Arabidopsis thaliana: one gene and its partner. The protein of the gene in region 2 interacts with the protein of the main gene of each other region in a pairwise test. Each region holds a gene or a part of one and is shown on either strand. Other genes may lie near its edges.

What was found. Proteins that work in one complex are often made in the same cells at the same time.
Region 1: the proteins of COL5 (region 2) and TOE3 interact in a two-hybrid assay, tested with the Arabidopsis thaliana proteins (one study listed by BioGRID).

Annotation. Positions count from the first base shown.
Region 1 is NC_003076.8:26,800,182-26,806,878, forward strand, and holds TOE3 (target of early activation tagged (EAT) 3), read right to left. Parts: upstream 4,069-6,697; 5' UTR 3,754-4,068; coding exon 3,413-3,753; intron 3,330-3,412; coding exon 3,304-3,329; intron 3,197-3,303; coding exon 3,166-3,196; intron 3,065-3,165; coding exon 2,977-3,064; intron 2,868-2,976; coding exon 2,722-2,867; intron 2,619-2,721; coding exon 2,574-2,618; coding exon of another isoform or gene 2,489-2,573; intron 2,483-2,488; coding exon 2,388-2,482; coding exon of another isoform or gene 2,323-2,387; intron 2,313-2,322; coding exon 2,236-2,312; coding exon of another isoform or gene 2,185-2,235; intron 2,148-2,184; coding exon 1,938-2,147; 3' UTR 1,768-1,937; downstream 1-1,767. Other genes in the region: AT5G67170 (SEC-C motif-containing protein / OTU-like cysteine protease family protein), read left to right, coding at 40-115, 195-344, 428-489, 565-649, 739-888, 956-1,207, 1,303-1,400, 1,480-1,582.
Region 2 is NC_003076.8:23,353,220-23,358,847, reverse strand, and holds COL5 (CONSTANS-like 5), read right to left. Parts: upstream 3,512-5,628; 5' UTR 3,276-3,511; coding exon 2,544-3,275; intron 2,455-2,543; coding exon 2,119-2,454; 3' UTR 1,859-2,118; downstream 1-1,858.

The DNA.
Region 1 (6,697 bases), 3.4 Mb from region 2:
AGCAATCGTGTTAGATTGAATAGTGATTCTCTTTCACAGAGCAATTGCTGATCAATTAGAAGGCAATGAGGATGAACACAACAAGTACCGTAACATGATTGTACTTTATATAGTGGTAAGTGGCAGCCATTACTTAGTGATATTTGGAAACTGTCTCTCTATATGTATATACAATACTTGATGGCTTTTGACAGAAAAATCGTGAAATGTTCGAGCCTTTTATCGAAGATGATGTTCCTTTTGAGGATTACTGTAAAACCATGGACGATGATGGAACTTGGGCTGGGAATATGGAATTACAAGCAGCTTCTCTTGTCACTCGCAGTAATATATGTATTCACAGGGTAATAATAACAATGCCTCTTCTCATCATCTGCTTCGTTTTTATCGATACGTTTGTTTGAGCAGTGGTATCTTTATGTTGCAGAACATGTCACCGCGTTGGTATATACGCAACTTTGAAGATACGCGAACCCGCATGATCCATCTGTAAGTATACTTGGTTCTGTTAATGATTCTTTTATCGGTTTGAATTTGCTTTTACTTTAATAGTTTCTCTTTCAGGTCTTACCATGATGGGGAACACTACAACAGTGTGCGTTCCAAGGAAGATGCTTGTGGAGGACCAGCCAGGCCTGTTGTAATAGAGGTTTTACTTCAAACTTTAGCTCTGTGTTTATCTGTAATATACATAAATTGTCTGTTTTTCTGTCCTAATAAATTCCAGTTGTGTGGAAGGCTGATGCTAAAGTTTCAGCAGCATCTAAACAAGCGAAAGCTACAGAGAGCAAGTCCAAAAATAAAGCTGATAAGTGTCATGTGAATGCTGGAGCTATCAAAGTTGTCATGTCTGGTAGTTGTTGTGACAATACTGAGAAAGCTGAACAGGTGATAATGCGATGCTTGGTTAATGTTTGAGAGAATATCATGATCATTAGTCCTCTCTTATCTTTAGGTTCTATTACAAGTTAATGGTGATGTGGATGCTGCTATAGAATTCCTGATAGCAGACCAAGGAATGGAGTCTTTGACTGAAAATGATACAGAAACCGCCTCTGCATCAGATACCATCAACCCAAAGCATGCAAGTGATAGTCCAATGGAAAACACCGAGCAAGCCAGAGAAGAATTGATAGAGGAGGAATCAGCTAGCGGCAATAACAGTGAAACAGTCCAAGCCAAGTGCACTACACAGACCGATGATAAGGTTTGTTGGCTCGCTTAAACCATGAGATAGCTTATTTCCTTATGATTGCATTAAAATATGATCCGAATATAAAAGGATTTCTGTGAAAACTGCAGAAGATCCCAAGGAATAAAACATGTCCATGTGGTTCAAAGAAGAAATACAAGTCCTGCTGTGGAACAGCAACTGGGAGATCCTCTGTAAAACTGTTAGTGTAAGTTTCTTAAAACGGTTCTGCAAAACACTCAAAGCAGAACTTAACTAAAGATGAGTGTTTCTTGATTAATTTGCAGGAGCCAAACAATGGAGTCGAAGAAGGGGAGAAAGAATTTGAGAAGAGGAACATCGAATGAAGTTGAAGCAAATGCACCAGATGTTGGTGCTCTTTGTATATAATTAAGTCTCACTCACTCAAGGTGATCACGTTTTCACTCCATTTATTCACACCAAACTCTTTTATCTGTTTAGCAAGAACAGTAATTGGTTACTAAATCCGTTTGGTTATCTCTCTATTTCAGGCGAAGACATAAATTTAGTATGAACTTGGAGTTAGGATCACTCGCGAGTATACCTTTTTTGTTGTCTGATTAAATTAACAGAAAGAAAAAAACTTGTTATACCGTACTCAAGAACATATATGTATTACAGAGCCCAAAAATAGCTCGAGAATAACTCAAATTCATTAAAGCATAACTTGGTTAACACTAGCTCAGATGATGATTGTGATGATAGTGATGATGATGATGATGAATCAGGGACGAGAGAAGTGGAAGGTGCGAGGAATGCGGTAAGGGGAAGGTTGAGGAGAGAATCCTGATGATGCTGCCATTCCCACCACTCGATTTCCTCCACCGTCCGATTGCTGCTTTTCCGATCTGACAGTCGTCGTCATCATTGCTAGCGATAGATCGCTCCCTAATAATCTCTCCTCATCTCTAATCCTACTTCTTATGCTTGCAATCTTTAAAATTATCATACATATGAATTATATCACCAATTTAATTATTTTCCGACAAAAACAATATACATACACAAACATGAACACTTACATCAGACTTGAGTCTAAACTCTTCAGATGATGATTCTCCTAGACTTAGACCAAGATTATGACCGTTCCTCGTCGTCTCTGTTGATTTTTACAATAGAATCTGGTGACTGGAGTAAATTTTAAGACAAAAAAAAAAAGTAAAAATAAATTTACCTGAGCTAAGATCTTCTTCTTCCTCGTATACTTTAGGGTCAAAATTGGTAACAGCGTCTTTCCCATTACACTTTATTGCCGCTTTATCATAAGCTCTATATTCAAATTTCAGTTTTTTCATATTTCGTACCAGGAAAAAAGTAAATATTTTTTTTGGTGATGAGACAGTGAATAATGAAGAAGTACCTAGCAGCTTCAATCTCGGTATCAAAGAGACCCAAATAAACGTACCTGAAAAGATAGCAAACAAAAAAAGCAAACAGGACACTTCAAATTAATAAGAAACAGACTGGAAATTTAATATTTGCACCAAAAACTATGAAGAAATTAATACTTTTTGTTGAGGAATTGACCCAAACGTGACTCCCATCTTCCACATTTGTGCAAAGTAACACCTCTGTATTTAGAACTGCCTCTTGGAAACCCAGTGCTTTGCCTTCTAAGTACATGCATAAACTCTTCCTTTGTCAAATTTCCCATCTGCAAAAAAAAAAAACCAATATTTCATTGTGTTTTCTTCTGAGTAGTAAGTAATTAAATTACTAGTATAACCTAAAGTAGATATATCCATAAAAGACTTATATAGAACCTGTTTCAAATCGTCAAGGTAGTCTTCAATGTCGAAATTAATATCTGCATCTACACCTCTGAATTTAATCGCCGCTCGATCATAGGCTCTGTCTCAAATATTTATTGACCCATATTATAGCCAATAACAAAATAATGAACAAAAAATGATACTAGTATAGTAATGCGTTAGCTAGGTTCGAAAATATACCGAGCAGCAGCATGTGCAGTGTCAAATCCACCTGCATATATATGTAACAACAATTAGAAGGAAACAAAACCCTTTGTTTTGTCAAATAAATCGAAGACACAAAAGTTAAATCGTAATTTTTATGTATATGAACCATACCTAAGTACACTTGCTTCCCACAGTCCCTGCATAATATTCCAAAACATTTTATGAAAATAATTGAAATGATAACACTACATATGGTTTTAAAAGGTATTATGTGATTTACCAAATATGTGACTCCCATCTTCCGGTTCGTCGGTAAAACGTAACTCCTCGATACTGAGAGCTACGTGAGCGAGGACCACGTCGGCTCTTCTTTATCGGCGGTGATATCTCCGGCTCTTCTGGTCGACCCGATCCGCTTGGATCCGACTTACCGACACTATTGAAACCGGACCAACGAACTCCCGGTTCCATGCTTTGAGCCGGAAAGAAATTCCTGGTCACCGGAAGCACAAACGGTAGCCACGTTGCAGATTGACTCATCCCGTTTGACACGTGTCCGACCGGATTCCCTCTACTGTCGGATTCTTCGTGATGATCGGGTGAGTCGTTAAGGTTCCACATTATTTGTTGTTCCTTTGTGTAAAGTAAAGAGGAAAAAAAATAAGAAACTTGGGAGAGAAATAAGAGAGAAGAAGAAAACTCAGATGAGAATAACCATCAAAGCAAATAAAGGTAGGTTCTAAATAAATAACTAAATTATTTAATAGAATAAATATCTGACTCTATTCAAGTATTCATCATTAGAGAGGTGCAGGATTTTTTTTTATCAATGAAAGGAGTCAAAGGAAAAAAAAATATTTATGAAGAAATTCATTTTGAAAATTGATTCTTTCCCAATACAAGTGTATTAGACTGTCTCCTAGTTTTTGGTCTCCTGAGTATTGACATCACATTTTTCTTTTATATAAAAAGGGCAAGTAAATTCAGAAATTCAAAAGTTTGCTGAAATTATTATGGACTAAAATGTAGGATGTAGATGGGAGTATCTTTATTTTTTATTTATTGTCCTATTTAATTTCTCCTACTCCAACTACTCACAATTTATCATTTTAGGACTATAATTTATATCTTTCTTTCTTCTCCGAAAACAAATTGGGACATCAATTCAGCAGCATATGATTATTTTCAACATCAACAACATAATCATGTTGTTATCTACAAACAAAATTTTATGTTTGTTTAGTGGAGCGAAACTTTTTTAAAAATGTAATTCCCTGTATATTTGTTGAATATAGAAAATTACAAATGTGTAAAAACAAAAACAAAAAACAGGATGAACAAATCCGTGTAAAAGAGTTTCGTAGGAGAAGAAAAGGAAACGGAAATAATGTGATGGGAAAAGAAAAAAAACGAAGTAATACCTAAAATGCCCCTATCCAAGAGTACGGGAAACAGCTTTTTCTCTCTTTCCATTGCTTTGATTACACCTTCACTCTCTTGTTATACGCGCGTGTACTCACTCTCCCTTCACATTTTGATTTTTAATCATTGTTTTCACATTTACTTAAGGTATTTACATCAACTCAGAAAGAATAATCATCCTGTCTCTCCATTTTTTATTATGTTCATATACATCGACATTTTATTTAAAAAATTAAGAAAATTAGAAAGAAAAAAAATAGATGAATTTGAAAATGTATTCGACATATAACCTTTTTGAGATTTCTCGCATATGGGATTTTTATTAACGTCTCTACTGTTTCTTAAAAATTCCCCCATATCGTTAAAGTAATGTTTTATTTGAAATCAGCAATGAAAAATTATTGCAACAGTTGGTTATCGTTTATAAAAAGATAATCATAACTCTGGTTAATCATTCATCATGCAAGTATGCAACTATTGTTTTACTTTACTTTTTTTATAATGATGTTAACAGAATCTTGATACTGATATAGTTATACTTATTTTTTTTGTAGTGGATCATTTTCTTTTCAGAATCGTACTTATACTTGCATGTTTCTCTTGAGACAAGTTCAAGTTTAATTAGTAGCGTCTGCTGACCCAAAAAAAAAAAGAACGAATAAAATTGTCTATATTGACACACAGAATTTTTTGTATTTAAAAAATTTCAAAACGCATATTTCTAAATACGTGTTTAGTAGTTACTAAAGCAAAGAATAGGTGTGGGTAAAAGGAGATCCAAAGCGTGAAAGAATAATATTACAAGTGGGGGAGGAAAAAGCCAAACCTTCCCCTAATGGAACTATGACGATGCTTTGATGCTCTCTGTTTCTTTCCCTAAGTAGTAATTACAAAAACTCCCTCTCCCTCTTTCTCTCTACGCATATATCGACTCCCATAATGGCAATCTTAGCCCCACATTTCCCATAATGGCAATCTTAGCCCCACATTTGTCTCGCTAACAAATCATATCGGATGGCGTTTTTCTTTTTGATTGTAGATAGCTTTTTTCCCCTATCATGGAATCCAACCAATTTGAAGATGCCACAAGAAGATATATTGTTACCAAAGTATTAATCAGTGATTAGCATGCATGTACCATATATTTTTATTCAATAGCGAATCTATAGAAATCAAATCTAGGATATATGTGTATGTTCAGTATTTATGATGGATTATTGGTTTTAGAATTCATATATTTTATACTTCTTCACATATATTATCAAAATCCAATTTCAAACTTCGAAAGACTCACATTTTAACAAAAGTAACACGCGTAATAATGTGAATAACGACGTTTTCAAATAGGTTTGTGCTTGTCCACATCTTATTCAACCTTATCATGATCTATAATCCAGTTTCTGACTAAACAACGTAATTACTATTTAAATGAATTAAACTAATCTGGTTTAAAGACTGTTTAAAATTAAGTACATGATAAACGTGGGCTGTATGAAACTTTTGACTAGTGAATATAATTAGGAATGCGTACAAACTTTAAAATATTGAGAGACACATAACACCAAAAGTGTGTCGGCACAATCATCTCAAACTAGAAAATCTTATTATTATTACTGATGTTTTGTAAAAAAAAATAAAAATACGATGACAGCTTGGAAACATCGGACGGTCGATAAAATCATCCTCGTACTGTCGGTGAATCTAGACAGTTGAAATTATGGGCTCCACTTTTCATTAAGATCACGGAAGCTTGATCTCTCCACAACTCACGTGACTCACGTGAATAAAAACATGCTACGTATCTACCTCTTTCAAATTTACAAGTACTAACACAGCCACTGTTCGAATCATCATAATGTCTTTTTTATATCACTGTAGTTGATAGTTGTGTATATATGTATACAGTATACTTGCATAATTCTCCGAGCAAGATTATAAGATTTAACAAATTTCGTTTCAAATAATTTTCAACCATAAATATTTTAATAATCTCCTTAATCGCTGAAATAAATAAAATACGACTCCGGGCATCGTCATCTGACTAGAAGCTATGATTCGGAGCTAGTAGTTGTAAAAAACTTTTTTTGTCTCGAATTGGAATTCAAGAAACTGATGGGTGCACTAAAGCCGATATATTTATATT
Region 2 (5,628 bases):
GTTAAAAAAAAAAAAAAAAAAGTTGGACGTATAAGTATTTTGAAGTGTGTCAACCCATGCATGCTGCATCTAATACATGATTTTAATTTAATATAAGTCCAAGGAACATACATTCGCACACGAGTTATACACGTTGTCATGTAAACTTGGAAATGTCTTTACAAAATAAATTGAAATCAATTAGACTGATAATCATTTATAAAGAATAATAATCGTATGATTAATGCATAATAGACAATGAGTTTGGTGGAAATCACCTAACAAGCTTAATCAAAGGTTAATTGGGGGAAAAACACCACATTTACCCAATTTATTCGTGACACTCAACATCCAACTTTTAATTCTTTGTTTTTTTTTTGTTTAATAAATCAAACTTTAGTTCTATGTATTGTCAAAACTTTTCTTTAATGCGCTATTATTAACGTTATTATGATTGTATATATGTGGCCCCAAAGCATTCGTAGCCACTATTTGCAAATCTCAAGCTTACCTTCCAAAAAAATATCCTGCCTAAATTGCCCCTTGTATCAAGGTCTCTAAACCCACTTGGACGGCAGAAGTCTCATTCAACTATATCTCAATCCAAAGTATTGATCATGAGTTATATATTCACAATACTGTATATACATTTCATAAAAAGTAGCTACATTCTAAAAAAATGTTAACGAGATTATAGCTAGAGGTGGTATGAATTTGAAGAGACTGCTGCGTGAGTTTAGAAGATTATGTGTATGTATTAACAAATTGATATGTCTTTAACATACTTTGTTATATCATACGTATGCAAGTCCTATAGTAGTTGCAAAGACACTACGATATAACTTTTAAGTAAACTATAAGGTAACTTACGAGTAGATGATTTATTAGAAAAACATAACAAGGTTATTACGTGCATATTTTATCAGTGGATCATCTAACAGTCGAAGGTTTAGAATAGTTTAGTGGTTCAAATATATACTCTGAAATATAAGAGATAGGATTCAAGTTTTCCTAGCTACTATGATTTCAATTGTGGTAGATCAGTGTAAACATCTAAAATGAAGAAAATACTCTGGCTCATTCTTAGCCTCCTTGAATGAATATAGTTAACTTAGGTCCGAGATTGTGTAAAGGCTATTAGATAATACGAGATAGTGATACCATAAATCACCGATCACTAACGACAAAATATCACAGTTGAAATGGACTTTGACTTTATCTGACAATAATCACGTTCTTGCAGAGAGATAAGATTGGCTCTACAGCTACCCAAAAGGCAAAGTTAATGAAGTTTCGGACAAAACCATTAATTGCAACCTTCCCTTCTTTTCCTACGATCGATTTCCGGAAAAGCAACTATTTTCACTAACTCTGCGAAAGTTCCAGAGATTTTGGATCTGGAATATACATATATGCCTTAACGAATCAAAAAACTTTTCAGTAATACAATAAGTATTTTCGGAACAAAGAAAACAACAAATAAAAAGCTTTCAACGGTAGATTAGAGAGATAGTTTACACATACGTATGACTATTTTTTCATGATTTCAAACATAAAAAAAAAAACTCACAACTACATGTAACAAAAAAAACAAAAATCCGATGCTTCTCGTGCATGGGATACAAATATTAAAAATGCATGAGCTAGATTGATTAGATAAATCTCAGAAAAATACTTTTGTGTAAGTTATAGTGACCTAAAAATCTCCCCCTATTAGTATTAAATGTCATATAGTTTGTGCTTTCGTTATAATTTATGCTACGTAACAATTACCAAGCCAAAACTCCACCTAATCTGCATCAACAAAACTAGTGACAAGACAACATCAGCCAATAGAGATTAGAATTACCAAATTATATGATTAGCGACAAGACAACATCAGCCAATAGAAACTATAATTACCAAATTATATGATTTCATAACATTTTCTAAATAAAAATAAGCATACATATATAGGAAGAAAAAAAAAAAGAGTTACAGTGGCAGTGAGAGCGCGTAAAAAAAAAGTAATTAAAACGGTAAAGAGGATAAGATGTTTGTCTACGGTAAGACTCACTATACTTATTATACACCGACTGTAAATCAACGGTGGAAGATATGAAGTCTTCAGGTTGATTGTTTATCCACCGTAGATTCGAATCAGAACGTTGGTACGACACCGTACTGTGCGTGTGCTGCTGAAGCATAAACATGACTAAGGAAAATGTCGTCGTTTTCTGTCTCTGTTCTTTTCGCAAACCGGCCTTTGATCCTTGGCCGTGACTCTGCATAAGCTTTCCTCGAAGCGTAACGAATCGTCTTCTCAAATTTCCTGTTCTTTCTCTTCTCTCTGTACCTCAAAACCCTAGCTTCTCTATCCATAGAGCTCGCTTGATGATCACCACCAGTCGTCGAGCTAGTGATCGTGCTCCGGTTAACAGAGTTGTTTGTGTTTCCGTCAGGAACTACACCGTATTCAATAGAAGAAGTCGAAACCTGAAAATCACAAAATTCAAAGATTAGTTTTTTACTGAATTTAAGCAAATTTTATGATAAAAGATTTGATTTTGACGGAGGGAAATTACACTGTGGCTGACTGATTGAGAAGGGTAAGTGAAAGCAGAGAGCTTTGATCTGCAGAAATCAATATCGAAGCAATGATCATTGTTAGTTAACGGGAGAGGCTCTGTTTTCGTCTGAACCGGAACAAGACTATCTCCTCCGGCGTTGTTTTGATGATGATTGAACGAATTCGGAAACTCGAAATCAATAAGCCGATCGAAATCAGAAAACATAAAGTCAGAAGAACCTTTCATGTTTTCAGTTCCGATTTCGATTTTAGCCGGTTCGTTGAAATCATTAGGAAGTAACCACGGACATAAACCGAGATCATCAGCCATAACCGGAACAGCGGTTAAATCAACGGTGGTGGATGAGCCAAGGATACCAAAAGTCGAAGAAGCTGAGATTTTGGCGACGGCGGTTTCGGCTGAGTCGAAGAAAGTTTCGACGGGGACACGTTCGTGACGGCTAGCGAGAGGATTAGCAGAGTGAATATCGGCATCACAACTGACGCAAAGAGCGGCGGCGTCGGCTTTGCAAGTGACGGCGGCGGGAGCTTGTTCACAAACTTCACAAACCCACACGCGCTCGTGGCGAGTGAAGGAATGGATTCTTGTGTCACATGCTATGCATAAGAAAGCTGAGTCAACTCGACAGAACACGGCGGCGGTAACTGATTTACAAGCGTCACAGGAACGCGCCGCCGCGCCCCATCCGCCGGAGATTGATTTGATACTCTCTAAGCCGAATCCCATTAACTATAACTTTTTTTATTTTCTTGAGTTCACAAAACTCTCTCTCTCTCTCTCTTTGAAGTTTTTGTTTGAGAACGTGTGAGAGTTGGGTATTTGATTTGCTTGGATGATCTGTCATGCCCAGTCGGACAGAGAAGAGACACTGTATTTTAACGAATTGTAATATGACACGTGTAAACATGACATCCACATAATAAAATCGAATTATGGGATTTGTTTTAATAAAATCGTGATGGAGATATGTTTTGTAGAAATGAAAATTAGGCTAACAAAATAAAATAATTAGGCTGGTCCTTGATATCGTAATTCATTTTTCTTTCATGTAGGAGTATCTACAAATTCAAAATATTTTATTTCTGTTAACTCCAAAACAAATTTGTTTGAGGTTTTGAATGGATTTTATCTATCATGTCGGTATTGAATTAGTTTTGTTTTGGCTGTTTTATTTGTTAATGAATAGAAATAAAGTTTAATTAATAAACTTCGTATGTTCTTGAGGCATCATTTCGTCTAGGGACCGATACTAGCTTATAGTCTCCTTTTCAAACATGATTTCAAAATTTATTATGTCAATGACTCAAATTCTTCTCACCAAACTAAATATTAAACTTTGATTTATTTTTATTTTTGCGTGTGTATGCATATAACTTGTACATCCTTAAATGAGATAAGCTAAAGCTTGTACATCTTTAAATAATAAGATGATATTAATGACCCATACAATTTTTTCATCTTAAAAGAAAAAAAAAATCTTCTTTCTCGACCAAATGACCACTATGTTCATAAATTTTACAAATATTTTTTTAAAAACTTTAATTTTCTATTTATTTTGTCAAATATGTATTATCTTTTAGAATGATAACTCCGTTACGTAGTTGTAGACTTATTATATACTAGTTGTATCGTATTCTAGACAGGGCCCTTTGAGGATGGATATTCATGGAATTTTAAATAATATTGAAAAAATGGACAGTATGGTCGGCATGATTTAGAAATCTTTATCTACAGTTCGGCATGAAAGCAAATTTGATTTTTCTTTCTAATTACAGAAACTTTGACTTCGAGAAATCATAAGGTATAGCTTTACTTAAGATTTCTTTTTGCGGTTTTAGTAATGAAGATTCGGTAATATATTATCAATAAAAATATACATTTTGTAGTGTGTTATAAAGCAACGTGTTCGAGATTCAATTCTCATAAGATCATACCTTATAATTTATCTTTTCTCTCAAAATATTAAATCTTTCTAATGTTTGCTTTCTGATATAATGTTTGCTTTCTGATATATATTTTACTAATCAATAATCTTAAATGATGAAGTATACTTATACGATATTTTCTTTTATAATGTTTGCTTTCTGATATGTTCTTCTTAGGTAGTAAAATACATTCTTTTTCGTTTACCGGCTAAAAACTGTATAATCCAAAAATTTACACAGGCCCGTTTGACCTAGGGTCTAGTTCCAAAAGGAAGAACAAAGTAAACGCAACGGTTGGTACTTAAAAAGAGAGTGAAAAGAAAAGATATAAGGCAACACTATCAAAATCCTTATCTATCCACGTATACGAAAGAGTTAGAGGAAACATATTTGTACAATAGAAATATTGCGATAGATTTTTATATCACAGTTCTATCTATATATATTACATAGCCAATGATATTTATCTTTATTGTTATCTTCCGACATGAGATCCACGCAAAATTGTTTTGCTGTTTTGGGCACTAAAATGCACTGTATTTTGACCCCATCTCAAGATTTTATCGTCAATTTTAAAATCATGTGCGAATAAATTTTCTGTATCTTCTTTTTTATTATTTTCAATATTTGACTATATATGATTCAAAGTTTAGAAAAGAAGAGTACTTATTACATAATTAGTTCGCCTCAATCAAAAATTAACCAATAATATATCGGAACAGATTCCACCACAATCGAGGATGTTGTCTTTTTTTTTTTTGAGACCGCAAACGAGGATGTTATATAGTACATCATAACAATAATAACATAACAGTTTTATAAACTAGATAAAAGGGAAATAATAGGAACCCAACATATCCGCTTGACATAAATAATGTGGAGATGACAGAATCAGTGTAAGCAATACGCCAATACTGGAGTTCTTTACTCTTTTATTACACTAATCAAAATAAGTTTAGTCAGTGAAATGTGTTATGTATGTCGTCAGTGAAAGAGTTAGCCAGTTAGGGTTTAAGTTTTTAAAAATTATCACTTTCGATCCGGTTTAGAAAACCGAACCGCATCTTGGCATCAGAACTATTAACATCGAACAGATTAATTTATACGTTTATAGTCCCTAAACACTTTGATTAAAAACGTCGTCACCTTGCGTG